2 linked regions of the Astyanax mexicanus genome follow. The protein of the gene in region 1 purifies or fractionates together with the protein of each later gene. This does not show direct contact. Links are inferred from orthologs where the notes say so. Each region holds a gene or a part of one and is shown on either strand. Other genes may lie near its edges.

Region 1 (8,422 bases):
GGCGAAAAACGAAAACGGGCAGAAACTAAAGACACGCCGAGCGCGAGAGAGAGAGACAGGGGAGAAAGCGAGACGCGTGTGATTGGGGAAGAGCGGAGGGGGAATGGGTAAGGGAGCGGTGTGTGTGTGTGTGTGTGTGTGTGGAGGAGATGAGGTGGAGAGACAGAGAGAGAGTAACGCACAGTGACTTAAATAAGTAACTTTAATCTGATTACTGGATTGGAAATAGTAACGCGTTAGATTGCTCGTTACTGAAAAAAAGGGTCAGATTAGAGTAACGCGTTACTAAGTAACGCGTTACTGACATCACTGATTAATATTGTGTCTAGAAGTCTAGAAATTTTAAAATAATCAAAAAAAAGGAAAGGACAAAAAAAACTTACAACTCGAGCCACAAACAAGGTCTTGAAAGCATCTCCTTGGGCATTTGGATCATTATGAGGATCCCCTGCAAAAAGAAATGAAAGAATGAAGTCGGACTGAGTTGGTGCTCAGGCTGGAATGTGTAACTCTTAAGATCCTTAAAATACATTGCATACTTACACAATTTCAGCTCTGTCTCCACTACCGTTTGCCGCCTCTCCATTTTCTCACGCCTCTGTGAAAAGAACACGACATACAGTCATTAAGATAATGCCAGAAAACACAGACAATGTGTCTCACTAGTCCTTGTTAAGCTTTTTTTCTATCATATAAAAACATCACAATATTCTCACCTTTCTCTCCAACCTCTCCTCGCGCGTTTCGGCTCTTGTGGGTGGCGGTGCATCTCTAGGGTCCTGATTGAAAGGAAGGATAAAGATTAAAAACGCAACACAAGATTAAAATAAAATTAATTAATGACCTGTACAAAACCATTACAGTTGATTTACAACTTATCACAGAGGAATCTCTCTAGTTGATGAGGAGCTAAGGTTTTTAAAAATAGGTAAAAAGATTTATATGTTAAGATCCTAATAAATATTAATAATACGGCAATACCTCTAATGACTAGTGGTTTTGTATATAGTAAATGGAGCTAAATGCTAAACCTTCAAATTAAAAATAATAATTTACTACTTGTTCTGAGTACTTCTTTAATTTCAGTAAAAGCAAAGAAAGCTTGCCTATATATTTTAGTTTATCTACAGAAAAAAAGCTTTTACACTGCAAAAGCACTAGCATTACTGGTACTGTGAGCTGATTGGTTGGCAAGCTGAGCCTCGATATACAGGTAGTGCACATTTAAAAGGCTTAAAATTTATGTCTGCTGTACTGAAACATTTGATTAATAGATCCGTGTTGAAGACAGTTATAAAAAAAATAAAAATAAATAAATAAAAAAAGAAATTTTTAAAGTCTGATTTTGCTCAGTTGCTTAATATGAACATATTCATGTTCGACACATTGCAAGTGTGTTTTCTCCTCTATGGAGATTCTCTGGCATGGCATCGCTAGTTCTCATGTGTGTTTAGTCCGGGTGCGCACGAAAGGAAACGTGTTTCTGGAAAGCAGCCAGGTAAGTCTGTGATTTCCCACAGCAAAAAAATTTGCTGTTTGAGATCCGGTGTAGACATTCAGTTGTGTAGTGTCTCAACAACAAGTCGTGTAGTGTGAATAACGCAGGGATGTGTTTTGGACCAATGGTTTTCTCTTTCTCCATGATTTCATTGCCAGTATGTAGCCGCTGCTCCTGACTCCCAGTCGCAGACTGGGTCAGATATCTAGCATGCCAAATACTTGCTGTGAGTCTAATTCATGTTACACAACTGTGCAAGTGCTGAGAGATCCCTGATTTGGCTCTGAGCAGACTTTTTGTCAGCAGTCAACAAAAAACTGTTGGTGACTGAAAAACTGGACTAAAACAGGGTAGTGTGAACCTGGCATAAGTGTTCACACTACATAAAGTTACCTACAAGTGTACTTACATAACATTAAGTACCTACAAGTGTGGCATAACATGCAATTTTACTAATTCATACCTCGAAGTGCTTGATGAAGGGAGCGATCCCAGAGTACGGCTGGTTGTGGTGTTTTTCATGGGGCAGCTTCTCCAACTGTGGCAGAAACGGAATGGGGTCCCGCGGGGCAAACAAGGCCAGCAGGTTTGGGGGCAGAAACTGAGTCATTGTTCACCTAAACAGAGCAGAGAAATGGCCATTTAACAATATTACACAATATTACGATTAAATGTCATTACATTGTAGATTAGGCCAGCAAGGAATTCACAAAGAAACTAAAAACGTCAAACTCTAAAGAACAGGGTCTGAGACCCACTGCTTGATAAAGGTATGGGCCACAAAGAGACTACAGAGACCAGACAAGTAAAATCAACACTATCAGAGAAGTAAACAACCCAATTCCTGTGAGGTAAAAGTATCAATTCAGAACCCAGTTTGGCTCATTAGACACACACAACATTAAGATAGTAAATTAGCGCTAGCCAGCTAGCTTAGCATTACAAAACTCAATACAAGCAAGCTAAGCTAGCTAACACAACACATTTAATCTACATGGATAAATTTAAATTATTTACTCAATTAATTAAGATAAATTAATCCACCAATACAAACCTACATTTAGTGTAAATCCATAAAGAGTACCAAACTGACGCTGAAACCTATATATGTTAGCTAAATAACCTATGTGTGTGGTAGCTAGCGTAGCGCATAGGGCTTGGTTGTGCTAGCTAGCAGCTAGCCATGTTTAAATAAGCGAGCAAAAGGTGCGCCCTCGACCAAGGTCCCTTACTAGTCTGCACTTAGCTAACGCTAACTCGGTTCCAACTAATACTCTTTTTAACTTAAACTAGCAAACATACACTTTATAAGCCACATCATGAAGACCACACGCACCTACTCCGCTTAACTAAAACAAAATATAATTAAATAAAAAAAATTCTAGCCAAACGTGCCCACTCCCAAAGCTTTCTAGAATTTAGTTCACAAGAGCGCGTATTGGAGCACAGCCCGCTTTCTCCGAGGCCTCGTGTCGGACATTAAATTACCTCAGCTCCGCATCCAATCCGCGCAGAATCTCCGAGCTCCGCAAAATAACGACTTCAGCAGCTCCCACAGAGCCTCCCAGTGTAGACTGTTACTGTAACACCAGTCTGTACTGGTCGCTTTCACTAGTTTCGTTACTGCTCAGTTCTCCAGCTCCTCTCCGCGCTGCGCGCTCTCTCAAAATGGCGCCACGCCGTAAATCGCTACAATTCATGAAGGGGCATTGTTTACGACAGTAGTTCACAGTTGGCGGCATTACTTGGCAACGTCAGAAGGTATCAGTGTGTCCCAATTCAGGGGATGCACCCTTCAGAGGCCGTATTGGAAGAATCCTGCCCCTAAATTGGCACACGATGTTTCTGTATTTATTTTTTCAGTGAGACGTATTTTATCTTTATTATGTGTTCAGTACCTTAAATTGTATATGTTGTAATTGCATGTGCGGCATGTCTTGTATTTTTATTTATAAAACAATTACATAAACTGTTTATTTGTACATATGTATGTATTGTATCATTAAATTATAAAATATAAAAAATAAGAGACCATTTAAAAATGAAGAGTTTCTTTGATTTTACCTAATTAACAACCCCTGGATTATAATCAAGAGAAAGATGAATGATCACAAGCCATCAAACCAAGCCAAACAACTATAATTTTTGCACCAGGCATAGCATAAAGTTATCCAAAAGCAGTGTGTAAGACAGGTGGAGGAGAACATGCCAAGATGCATGAAAACTGTGATTAAATAACTACGGTTATTCCACCAAATATTGATTTCTGAACTCTTAAAACTTTTTGAGTATGAACTTGTTTGCTTTGCATTAGTTGAGGTCTGAAAGTTCTGCATCTTTTTTGTTATTTCAGCCATTTCTCATTTTCTGCAAATAAATGCTCTTAATGACAATATTTGTATTTGGAATTTGGGAGAAATATCCATAGTTTATAGTATAAAACAACATTTTATTTAAACATTCACATATAAATAGTAAAATCAGAGACACATATTGAGAAACTGAAGTGGTCTCTTATTTTTTTTCTTGCTTTCTTAACGATTTTTATATTTTTATACTATATTATCTTATCTTCCTGACCTCCACTCATGCGATGGCACTTCTTCTTCATCCTGCTCCTCCTCCTCCTCCTCCTGTCTAGCAGCTGCCAGCCTAGAAGCCAGGCTCTATCTAGTCAACCCTTAAAAAATTTATGGTATTTAAAATAGCAGTTTCCATGCCTGGATAGGTTTTGGAAAACTAGAAATACCCAGAAAGGTTTGGTAAAATTAAAATTTGCAGGCTACATATGTGTGTTTTCATTTATCGACTGAGAAAAGCTATTTTGAGCTAACAAATATATCAGCTCAGAGTTAGTTCTGTATAATAGCCTTACACAATGAAGCTCTCAGGATCTGACACACATTTTATTATTATTATCATAAATTGTGTGAACATTACTTTTTTTTTATTTATAGTTTTAGTTGATTTTTGATTGTATTGTCCGCACTGATGTTTTAAAGATTGTATAGACATGACAATTTGCCTTGGAGACATGAAAAAGTCCTGAAAATGTATTGGTTAAAAAGTGTATAAACCTGGATAAAGTTACAGTAGGTATAGCGCTGCCACAGGCCTGAAACTGCTGCTGTGAATCCGCTGTCGTATATCCGTGCAGTTCCTCTCCAGGCGGCGAGAGGCGCTGTGTTAAAGCTGTAGCTGCTCTTCTGTCTCTGAGTGTAGTTTATTTTCATTAGTTAAAGATGGCGGAATCCGAGGAGACTAAAGCGACCTGCACGTTTTTGTTCAAAAAATCCAGTAAGAAGTTTTCAGCTCGGAAGAGAAAAGCCAGCGACAGCGACAAAGGTAAACTTTATTAGGCGGTTTTTACTATTTTAGTGAGTGTAGAGGGGTTAAATCTGTTATAATACAAGTAATAAATGCTGAGGAGGAGGCGAAGATTGAGTATTTCATATGTAACGTTATGTGTTCTGTTCCTCCGCGGACAGCGCAGCCTAAAGACTGTAAATTATTATGAATATATCTTTATATTGTGTTTATTTATCTGTAAAGTCCGGACGGGTAACTTAGAGCTAGAACAGAACCACCGCTCTGTTTAAGGTGGAATGAGAGATAGAATTAAGACGCAGCTCCATATTTATATCCTCGGTTTTAGTCAGTGTTTGGTCTGAATATAGAGTTTACTCCAGAGAATCAGGCTCAGTAACTCTGCTCCCTGTGTCAGACAGAAGCAGTGATGAGGAGAAGAACGCCGTGGTCAGAAGAGAGAAGAAACCCGTCTCTGCGAACCCCATGTTCCAGAGGGTGAGTGCACTAATCCAGGTCTTTATGGAATACAACGTTGCCAGGTCCAACACAAATATCCAGCCTAAATCAGTCTAAAACCCGCCCTTCAAAAGCTTAAACTAGCCCAAAATATATGTTTGAAGCAAATGGCAAAACAACCGTGAGGTTACGACTTAGTATTTTTTTTATTTAAGGGATTTATTATCAGTATTGCTGTTTATCTTAAAGTAATTAATAATATTGTGACATTAGTGTTTTATTAGTTCCTTTATAACAGTTCTGTATCCCAGTTAGGAACATTTAATAGTAACATAAGTAGCAAAAAAAATTACTTACTCATATCTGTTCCTGCCCCTCCTGAACTCTCTTCTCTCCTATTTTAACGTTTTCTTCATTACCTGGTGATTTCTGGTTACATTGTTAACACCTCTAAATGCGTTATTTTTTGTGCCTGGTTCTGTAACATTGGCCTCTATGAATCTGTGCCCAACTCAGCACAAAGTTCCAATAAAATGGCTCTTAGGAACCTAACTCGGCTCATTAACCAGAAACCAGAATCATCATTCACCAAAAAATAATAAAATCTTCATCAAAACAGGTTGTCGCATATTTGTCTAGGGCTAGGTCTTTGGGTAATGCCAAAAATTTCATAACGACAGACAGTGCATTTTTCATTTACATATCTGCCTTAGATATAACAGCATATCTAATGTTTTAACAATACAGTGTGTGTTAGTAATTTATTTTGTTAATTAGTGTGTTTTCTATTTGCTTTATTATTTTTGTGACTCTGCTTTGCAAGTCCTGTCTATATTTTATGGTTTTAGTTCATTAACCAACCAAAATCCCTGTTTCAGACAAAGAAGGTGGAGCGGGAAGCCGTCTCATCAAGTGAAAGTGAAGAAGACAAAGAAGCCAAAAAGATCACAGTGGCTTATAAATCCACCCGCTCAGCGGTAAGAAAACCTGCCCCAAGAATCAGTATTATGTTTAATTGCTCTTTTTTGTGTTCAAAGGAACAATCAGTAATAAATGGAAACGAGTGTGTGAAATTGGGGTGGGCGATATGGCTCTAAAATAATATCATGATATTTCAGAGTATTTTTACGATAACGATATACTTGGCGATATAGGAAAACTAAAATAATTCATTCATTTCAGGAATATAGTATAATAGTATAACAGAATAATCATAATGTGGCAAAATAAATTATATAGCATAAAATAATATGATGCTGCAAATATTATTGCAGAATATTTAGAGCATGCATATAAACTGCAAACTAAAACAATTATACAATAAATACACCTTAAGCTTCACAGTAAATAATAGACTTCTTTTAAGACAGAACAGCCCTATTATCACGATATGTATTTTTAATATCATGATATTTCTGTGTCAGGATATATTGTATACGATATAATATTGCCCACCCCTAGTGTGAAATAGCTTCAGGAGTTCAATTTTCAAACATTGGAGAGAGTTTTCTGCCCCACCCTCTCTTTCCCAAATGTTGAGCTCGCGCGGGTTGCAAGAACAATTGTCGACGAGTCTCACTGTTTAGCTAATCAGCACATGTATACATTTGTTTCATTGTTCTAAATGCCCATCTATACTACTCTAGTGGTGGTGGTAAATATGCTTAGCAACCTTACTAGAACTCAGTTCAGCCAAAAAAGTAACCAGCCTGTCCATTTCCATTTCACAACCCTGAGTGTGGAAAAGGGAGTGGGGGAATGGAAGTGGGTAGATTTTAATGCAAACTCCCACATAGATTTCCATGAGGTACCAAATAATTAAAATATAATTACAGCCTTATGCTCTGCTCTCAAGAGCTGCCAGTGCTGTCAGAGTTACTATGGAAAATCTAATCCTTAATGCTTTTTTTAAAATGGTATGTTATTCATATTATTGTTTTATTATATTCTAATGCATTCAACCTGCGTTTTTACATGAGCAGTTATTATGATGATGATTTCTTCTTCTTCTTCTTCTTCTTCCTTTTTAATTCTGTTTAAACTTTGCTGATGGGCTGATTTTTATATGTGAAACAGAAACCTGAAGGGCCAGAGGACATGGGGGCAACAGCTGTGTATGCACTGGACACAGAAAAAGACAAAGACGCTCAGGCCATCTTTGAGCGCAGCCAGAAAATTCAGGAGGTGAGGAACAAATCTGTCAGTGATAACTGAATTTGTAGTTAATTTCACAAAAAATTCTCTTCATCTGTTATGCTCCTGTGCATGATATGTATGCTATTGTAAATCAGTTTATAGAGTTTATAGAGCTGGGCGATATGGGGAAAAGGTATTGATTGTACCATGATATTTAAAGATTTTTTAAAGATATGCAGCTCTGGAAATAAGAGACCACTTAAAAATGATGAGTTGAAAAAAATTGAAATTGAAAACCTCTGGAATATAATCAAGAGGAAGATGGATGATCACAAGCCATCAAACCGAACTGAACTGCTTAAATTGTTGCACCAGGAGTGCAGGCATAAAGTTATCCAAAAGTAGAGTGTAAGACTGGTGGAGGAGAACATGTCAAGATGCATGAAAACTGTAATTAAAATCCAGGGTTATTTCACTAAATATTGATTTCTGGACTCTTCAAACTTTGAATATAAACTTGTTTTCTTTGCATTATTTAAGGTCTGAAAGCTTTTTTTGTTATCATTTTTTGTTTTCATTTTGCAAATAAATCCTCTAAAGGACAATATTTTTATTAGGAATTTGGGCGAAATGTTGTCCGAAGTTATAGAATAAAAAAAAAGTGGAAATGTTAATTTTACTCAGGCATATACCTATAAATAGCAAGATTAAAGAGACTGATTCAGAAACTGAACTGGTCTTCATTTTGTCCAGAGCTGTATATAAAAAGATAAAAAAACAAACAGTAATTATTGCTACAGTTATTTAAGTAATGCATGTCGTGCTTTTTATCCAGTTAAACAAGACTAATTATACTTTCTGTAATGAAACATGGAAACATGCAGTTGGTCAATGTATTTTAAGCATTGATTAATTCCACAATGTACTGAGAGAAGTGTATAAGTTATCAAAATAAGATAAAATGTTGTCACCAACCAAAGTATGAAGTTGGTGACGGTAATATTGACTTTTTCCACCTGTTTA
Region 2 (7,756 bases), on another chromosome or scaffold:
TAAAAGAATCAATGTGTAAAAGTTAATAGATACATTTCTCTCATTCAGATGTTTTTCCCAGAAGGTTTATATTAGAGCCTTTTCCACTAATGTTTTTAAACGCTTGAAACTTTAGATAACAGTAATTTCACCCTTGATCAGCATCAACTTTAATCCCAACACACCCTACAACTGAAGACTGGGGATATATAAGGCAAGTATTCTGCCTTTCATCATGATGGTGAGTGCTCCAAAAAACAATTTCGTCTCAAATCCTTGCCCATTTCGGTTTCCAGTCTGCAGCATTACCTTGCTTGATATTTAAGGCACTTCCGCATGCACTCTAAAAAGTGATTTTGTGGTTTAGTCAGGAGAAATAATATTAGCAAGTTGAGTGAATTTACCGGGCAGTACAACTCAATAAAATGAGTTCAGACAATTTCAACCTGAAAACTTAAAAATGCTTATTGAGCCAATGAAAACATTTGATTTCAACCAACTTTTAGTAAACCACACGTGTCAATGCTCTTTTCACAGTAGGGTTCATACAGCTTTCCTATAGGCTCCTGGCACCATATATTAGCATTTTGGGTGTGGCCTCTCCTTTATTTACTATCTTTGTGTTGTCTGTTGCCCAAAGGTACCTTATCCTAGTCATGCATTCTCAGTGTAATGTAAGTGTTGATTGCCAGGCCTCAGTGTTTGTAGGCTTTAAAAACGTATCACTCTTATTCTGTGGTCTAAATTGTCACAGTATGTTAGTTCTATAAAAATATGTTAAAAATGTTGGAAATACTTTCATATTTAAATAATTAAAGCCAACAATTCTTGAAAAAAACTGTTGAGCTAATTAAACTACTGTTGTGTGATCAAAACTTCAAAGTCAAAGCTAAATTTGTTAAATTGAGCCAATGAATATTTATTTTCTATATGTTTATAAAAATTGTTTAGTTTAGTAGTGTTTTTCTGTTGACATGTACAACAAACACTTCTGAGTTTGTTAATCTAACTTAAAATGTTTTAGCAACTAATTTTAACACATTTTTTAGTTGGCAAGTCTAGCATATATTTTTCGATTACCGTGAGTAAATATATTAAGTTCAGCCAACTTAAAATATTAGATAATGATAAAATAACTATGATGAATTCTATGTTAAAGTGATTCGATAATTTAAGTTAAGCAAACATTTAAGACTTGTTAGGTCAACTTAATTGTGTAAGTGCAGAGAACAAATGAGCCATAAAGTTGTACTAGCTTTAAAAAAAAAAGGAAATTTGTTGCTTACGGATTATAAATTAAAGTGTTCAAATTTTTTACAGTGTACATGAGATATCCTTTTTCCAATTTCCATTAAACCATTAAACAGGTACTTTACACTTTTGATTAGCCAATGAAAGTAATTACAGTTAATCTCTGTTGTACAATTTGCTGAGTCTCATTGGTTCTATGGCCTTACATGTACTAGCTTGAAAATGCAAATCTAAAACTGCAGGTCTAGAAATGTGGTTGGCTCTGTGGCTGTGCAAACGGATGACGTAGCTTTAAACCAGTAGAGAAACAGATAGTCTACCATCCTTTAAACAAGAAAATCAGATATAATCAACAATCCTTTACACAAAAAAATCAGATATAGTCTACCATCCTTTAAACCAGTGAAACAGATATAGTCTACCATCCTTTAAACCAGAAAAACAGATATAGTCTACCATCCTTTAAACCAGATAAGCAGATATAGTCTACCATCCTTTAAACCAGAGAAGCAGATATAGTCTACAGTCCTTTAAACCAGAGAAACAGATACAGTCTACCATCCTTTAAACCAGAGAAACAGATAGAGTCTACCGTCCTTTCAACCATAAAAACAGATAGAATCTACCATCCTTTAAACCAGCATAACAGATATTGTCTACCGCCCTTTAAACCAGAGAAACAGATAGAGTCTACCGTCCTTTAAACCGGAGAGACAGATATGGTCTACCATCCTTTAAACCAGAGAGACAGATATAATCTACCATCCTTTAAACCAGAGAAACAGGTAGAATCTACCATCCTTTAAACCAGAGAAACAGGTAGAATCTACCATCCTTTAAACCAGAGAGACAGATATGGTCTACTATCCTTTAAACCAGAGAAACAAATATAATCTACCACACTTTAAACCAGAGAAACAGGTAGAGTCTAACATCCTTTAAACCAGAGAAACAGATATAATCTACCATCCTTTAAACCAGAAAAACAGAAAGAGTCCACCATCCTTTAAACCAGAGAAACAGATACAGTCTACCATCCTTTAAACCAGCAAAACCGTTATAGTATACCATCCTTTAAACTAGAGAAACAGATATAATCTACCATCCTTTAAACCAGAGAAACAGATATAATCTACCATCATTTAAACCAGAGAAACAGATATAGTCTACCATCCTTCAAACCAGAGAAACAGATGTAGTCTACCTTCCTTTAAACCAAAGAAACAGATACAATATACCATCCTTTAAACCAGAGAAACAGATACAGTCTATCATCCTTTAAACCAGAGAAACAGCTGTAGTCTACCATCCTTTAAACCAGAGAAACAGATACAGTCTACCGTCCTTTAAACCAGAGAAACAGATAGAGTCTACCATCCTTTAAACCAGAAAAACAGATAGAGCTCCCATCCTTTAAAATGTAGAAACACATATAAAGTCTACCATTTCCTTAAACCATTAGAAAAACATAAACAAGAGGAACAAATAGAGTCTAGATGCTAGTTTTCCTATCCTGTAAAACAGTAAAAAAATACAGTCTGTTGCTTCAAACAAGTAGAAAACATAAAGAGCCTACCAACCTTTAAACCAGTAAATCCAGAAAGACTACCGTCCTTTAAATCAGTAGAAAAATCGAGTCTACCATAATTTAATCCAGTAGAAAAACATATAGAGCCTACCTTCTTTAAATCAGTGGAAAAACATATGGAGTCTACGATCCAGTGAAACAGTTGAAAAACAGATGTTTTATAGTGACAGGTCTTTCCCAGGTAGTTTTCTATTTGCTTTGAGCGGTTTCCATACATTTCTGTACATTTGAAGCTTTAGCTAACAGTAACTTTACTAGAGTTTAGTATCAACTATAGTCAACACATATCTAGCAATAGGGAGGATTGCAAGACTGGTGTTTTTTTACTATTCTATTAGTTTTTCAAAAAGTAGTCGTAATTTGCATAATAAAAGAAAAAACTCGGGAGAGTGCTATATTGATTAATTAATTTATTTGAGCTGTTTCTGATACTGATTAACACAAACAAATATGTCAAATATTAGCGTGAGGGCTGGATCACGTTGGTGTTCAGAGCTGACCAATCAAATCAGGTCATAGCTTTTCTCCAGGGTAATAAAAGTGATTGACACCTATTTCAACCAATAATAATAATAAAAAAAACTTTGAACTTCAGAGCGCACACAGCGCGCACACGTGTGGATTTGTGTGTCATTTAATTTAATTTAAAAATTATTAATATTAATATTACTCTGAAATGGACTAACATTATTTTGTCACAAACAAACAAAAAAATATTAAACTCTTGTTGTTTAATGACAGATTTACTTCCTTGGCACTTCCTTGGAGAGGTTTTGAACACTTTGGAGACGCCTGGTGGACACCTAATATAATGCAACGTAGCTTGTAAATGCTTTCTTGTAAATTTCTCAAATTTTGTAATTTGTTTTCAAGACACTAGTGAATCAGGAAATATATATATATATATATATATATATATATATATATATATATATATATATATATATATATATATATATATATATATATATATATATTTATATATATATATAAATATAAGATATATATACGTAGGTAAAGAAAACCTTAAAGAACAGGATGACAGAATTTAAGAAGTTAGATTTGTGTAGATACTATACTATTTCCCAAAAAGGGAAAAAATATTCAAAATATGATTAACAGTAGATATATTACAGTTTAAACCAAAGAATAACATTCTTACATGTTATATTCAACCTAATCAGTATAAAAAAAATTAAGGTGAAGGCGTGGTAAAAGCGTGGCGGGGTGGGAACCTCTTTACTGGGTCATCAGTGTGCGCCCGGAGTCCTGCACGCTTAGCCTCGCTAGCCTAGCCGAAGCTAACTTACCACACCGGAGTTTAGGGTTTGTTTTTGTTCCTCCTGCAGCTGATTCTGATCATTAAAACACCCGAGGAGACGCAGAAACACAGCAGATAACCCCGTGTACCGGCGGGTCTGTTTTAGAACGGATTTATTGTGTATGTGATCGCTGAGGAGCAGTTAGACTGAACACCCGGTCTGCAGAGAGCAGTGAAGAGTGGGATGGTGCTGCTTTGAGTTTGGCGCTTTCGGCTCGACCATCAGGTGAGATACAGCTGCTCTACCTGCTGCAGCTCCTGCCCTGTGCTTTTACTGTCTTTTCACTGTTTTACCCAACCTACTGTTAGTGATTAACACACAGAGTTCAGGAGAGCGAACTGATGAACATGATTAACGTGTTAGAGCAGAGAAAATACTAGTACAGTACCCTGATCCTGTACTACTACACTCATATTCCAATAGAGAATCTTCATTGCTCAGCGTTGTCTATATACAGCTCTAAAAAAAAAAGAGATCACTTTAGTTTCTGAATCAGTTTCTCTGATTTTGCTATTTATAGGTATATGTTTGAATAAAATGAACATTGTTGTTTTATTCTATAAACTACGGATAACATTTCTACCAAACTCCAAATAAAAATATTGTTAGAGCATTTATTTGCAGAAAATGAAAAATAGATAAAATAACAAAAAACAAAATAAAAAGACATCAAATAATGCAAAGAAAACAAGTTCATATTCATAAAGTTTTAAGAGTTCAGAAATCAATATTTGGTGGAATAACCCTGTTTTTAATCACAGTTTTCATGCATATTGGCATTTTTTCCTCCACCAGTCTTACACACTGCTTTTGGATAACTTTATGCCACTCTTGATGCAAATATTCAAGCAGTTTAGTTTGATGGCTTGTGGTCATCCATCTTCCTCTTGATTATATTCCAGAGTATTTTTTTGTGTCATTACAGGTTGTAGGTCTGATATTATTTTCATTCAATTGATGATCTCTTTTTTTTAATATTTAGGTATCAATATTGTCATTTTAGTCTGACAATGAATGTCTGTACAGAAATCGACTATACGTCCAGGAGTGTCCAGTTATGTCCAGTCACCCTTCCTTGTGTGTTGAGTCACACACCAAGAAAAGCATTTCCAGTCTAATGGGGCACAATCACATAATGAGCTTAAAGTCTCTTTGGCAAGTTTGTCCAGAGTTAAGTGACTGGGTCTAAAACAGAGCTTGGTTATGCTTATGATTCACAGTGCTTCTGGCAAAACTATGTTTACATTTTTTGAATGCTTTATTGAATTCTCTTTCCGGGGAATTGGTTATTCATACACAAGAAAATTCTCTTGTGGATACCCCTTTTTTTACACACATACAGCTTGTTCAATCCAAATAGAAAAGCAATTAATGAAATGTGCTGTGTACCACATAAATATAAGTTAATGGTTTTAAACATGACCTTAGTTAAGTTCTCTGGAGTGATGGAGTTCTGTTTAAAAATAACAAATAACAGTCGTCATCATCATCATCATTTTATTCACACATATATGTTTTTCACACATAAATTTGTTTTTGCATTATTGCTGTAAATTCCAGGTATGACAGACAGCGAGAACATGTCGACTGGAGGAGACCTGAAGGCCAAGGAGCTCAGTGAAAAGAAGCAGGATAATGAGAAAAAGAAGAGGTCTCGGGTGAAACAGCTGTTGGCAGATGTGAAGAAACAAGTGGAATTCTGGTTTGATGATGTGAACCTTCACAAGGACAAATTTTTACAGAACGTCATTAGTAAATCAAGAGATGGTTGTAAGTTGAGATTACCTCAAGTTTTAGAATGACTGTCATTGTTGTCTTTGATTGATGAGTGTCTAAAGCGGCATTAATAAAAAGAATGTATTAAATCTATTGTCAAATCCATGTAGTTGTTTTAAACATAAACTCATTGCACGTTTTGGTCTTGTTTTGCAGATGTTGACATATCTCTTCTAACAACCTTCAATAAAATGAAAAAGTTGACCACAGATGTTAAACTAATAGCGAGAGCTCTCACAAATTCCTCTGTGGTAGAGGTAAGAATTGCCTGTATGTTAAAAAAAATATATAATGATTGTGATAGTAATGATAGTAATAATGATTGTGCCTTCACTTGATATTCTTGGATTTATTATTTGTCAGGTTAATCTCAAAGGAACTCAAATAAGACGTAAAAATCAACTGGGGGACAAACCTCAAGATATCGACAGCCGCACAGTATATGTGGTAAACATCATTTTTATTATTGGCTAATTTTTTATCTGTAAATGTTTATCTGTCAGTTGATCATAACTTATGTGTCTGTTTAGGAACTCCTGCCAAAAGATGTGACCCATGTTTGGATAGAACGAGTGTTTAGCAAGTGTGGGAATGTAGTGTACATCAGTATACCCAGGTACAAGATTTCAGAGTCCCCCAAGGGCTTTGCTTTTGTGGAGTTTGAGACAGATGCTCAAGCACAAAAAGCCATAGAGGTAGGTATTGGATTCTACTTCACATGATAAATTATTGGGTTACATTTTTGTGTTTTAGAAGCTAACTTTACAATTCAATAATTTACGCAATATCTTCTATTTCATAGATGTTGAACAACCCTCCAGAGGATGCTCCAAGGAAGGCAGGCATTTTCCCAAAGTCTTTAACAGATAATCCTGTCCCTTTGTGTACAGCACAGGATAGCACACAAGGTACCCTTCCATATGAAACACAAATTGTTTGGCAACACATGTACATTTGCCTTAGATCTGTTAAATACACAATATTCACTGAAGTCATGTCGTATTGTTTCCCAGGATGCATTAATAGGCATTCTGAGGTTTTAAATTATGATATATCACTTTGTACACATTTTAACAACAAAGCTTGCACAAGATTGTACTCTGTTCAGTGCCATTTCTTTTAATAAATCACACACAGAGGGTAATATTGTGATATAATATTATTTAATAATATTTTTGAGAAATATTTTCCACACCAAATTCAGAGTGCGTTTGACTTTCACAATCTGGTGCACATAAATTTTAGTGATGCATTTATCTTTCCGAAAATCAGAATTTTTTATTAACTTTTAAATCCAGCACCAATTTCTTTCTCCTCTTTTAGATGAAGATGAGGATGGAAAGAAGAAGAAGAAGAAAAAGAAGAAAGCTCGCAGTGAACTGAAAGAGGATTCCATTGAAGAAATGGCAGTTGAGAAGGTAAAAGAAAAAGAGCCTGTTGTTGAAGCTGAGGTGGCCAGTAAGAAAAGGAAAGCTTCGTCTGAGGGCACTGAGAAAGAGAGTGCCAAGGAGGCTAAGAAATCAGAGAAGAAAAGGCGCCGATCCCGTAGTTCAGAGGTGTCTGGTGTAGAGGGACAAGAAGAGATGCCAGCCAAAATGAGGAAAATGGAAGAAGAGACGAGTGACACAAAAGGTAAGACATTTTTATGTCAGGAAACTGCTGGTAATGGCAACACAACGTTTAGAAAATTGGGGTTGCCCAGTAACCGGTTTCCCAGTATTCTTTGATATGAAACTGGATGATGATTTTACAGTACATATTTGTATATTCTAAACCTAACTACTATATGTCAGACTGTAGTAAAGCATTTGTTCAGCCAAACACATATATCTGTTCCAGT

Evidence for each region. Proteins that work in one complex are often made in the same cells at the same time.
Region 2: the proteins of snrnp70 (region 1) and larp7 purify together in Homo sapiens (affinity purification with mass spectrometry; 3 studies listed by BioGRID and IntAct, counting the BioPlex papers as one, with this or other methods). This does not show direct contact. The link is inferred for Astyanax mexicanus from reciprocal best matches to the Homo sapiens genes SNRNP70 and LARP7.

What each region holds. Positions count from the first base shown.
Region 1 is NC_064426.1:20,936,289-20,944,710, forward strand, and holds the start of snrnp70 (U1 small nuclear ribonucleoprotein 70 kDa), read right to left. Parts: upstream 3,184-8,422; 5' UTR 2,987-3,183; intron 2,116-2,986; 5' UTR 2,109-2,115; coding exon 1,962-2,108; intron 780-1,961; coding exon 717-779; intron 599-716; coding exon 544-598; intron 449-543; coding exon 384-448; intron 1-383. Other genes in the region: E3 ubiquitin-protein ligase RNF113A, read left to right, coding at 4,741-4,843, 5,223-5,302, 6,142-6,240, 7,340-7,447. UniProt on the Homo sapiens protein: Component of the spliceosomal U1 snRNP, which is essential for recognition of the pre-mRNA 5' splice-site and the subsequent assembly of the spliceosome. SNRNP70 binds to the loop I region of U1-snRNA.
Region 2 is NC_064415.1:28,220,595-28,228,350, reverse strand, and holds the start of larp7 (la-related protein 7), read left to right. Parts: upstream 1-4,074; 5' UTR 4,075-4,365; intron 4,366-5,700; 5' UTR 5,701-5,702; coding exon 5,703-5,910; intron 5,911-6,072; coding exon 6,073-6,173; intron 6,174-6,279; coding exon 6,280-6,363; intron 6,364-6,446; coding exon 6,447-6,611; intron 6,612-6,718; coding exon 6,719-6,824; intron 6,825-7,239; coding exon 7,240-7,548; intron 7,549-7,756. UniProt on the Homo sapiens protein: RNA-binding protein that specifically binds distinct small nuclear RNA (snRNAs) and regulates their processing and function.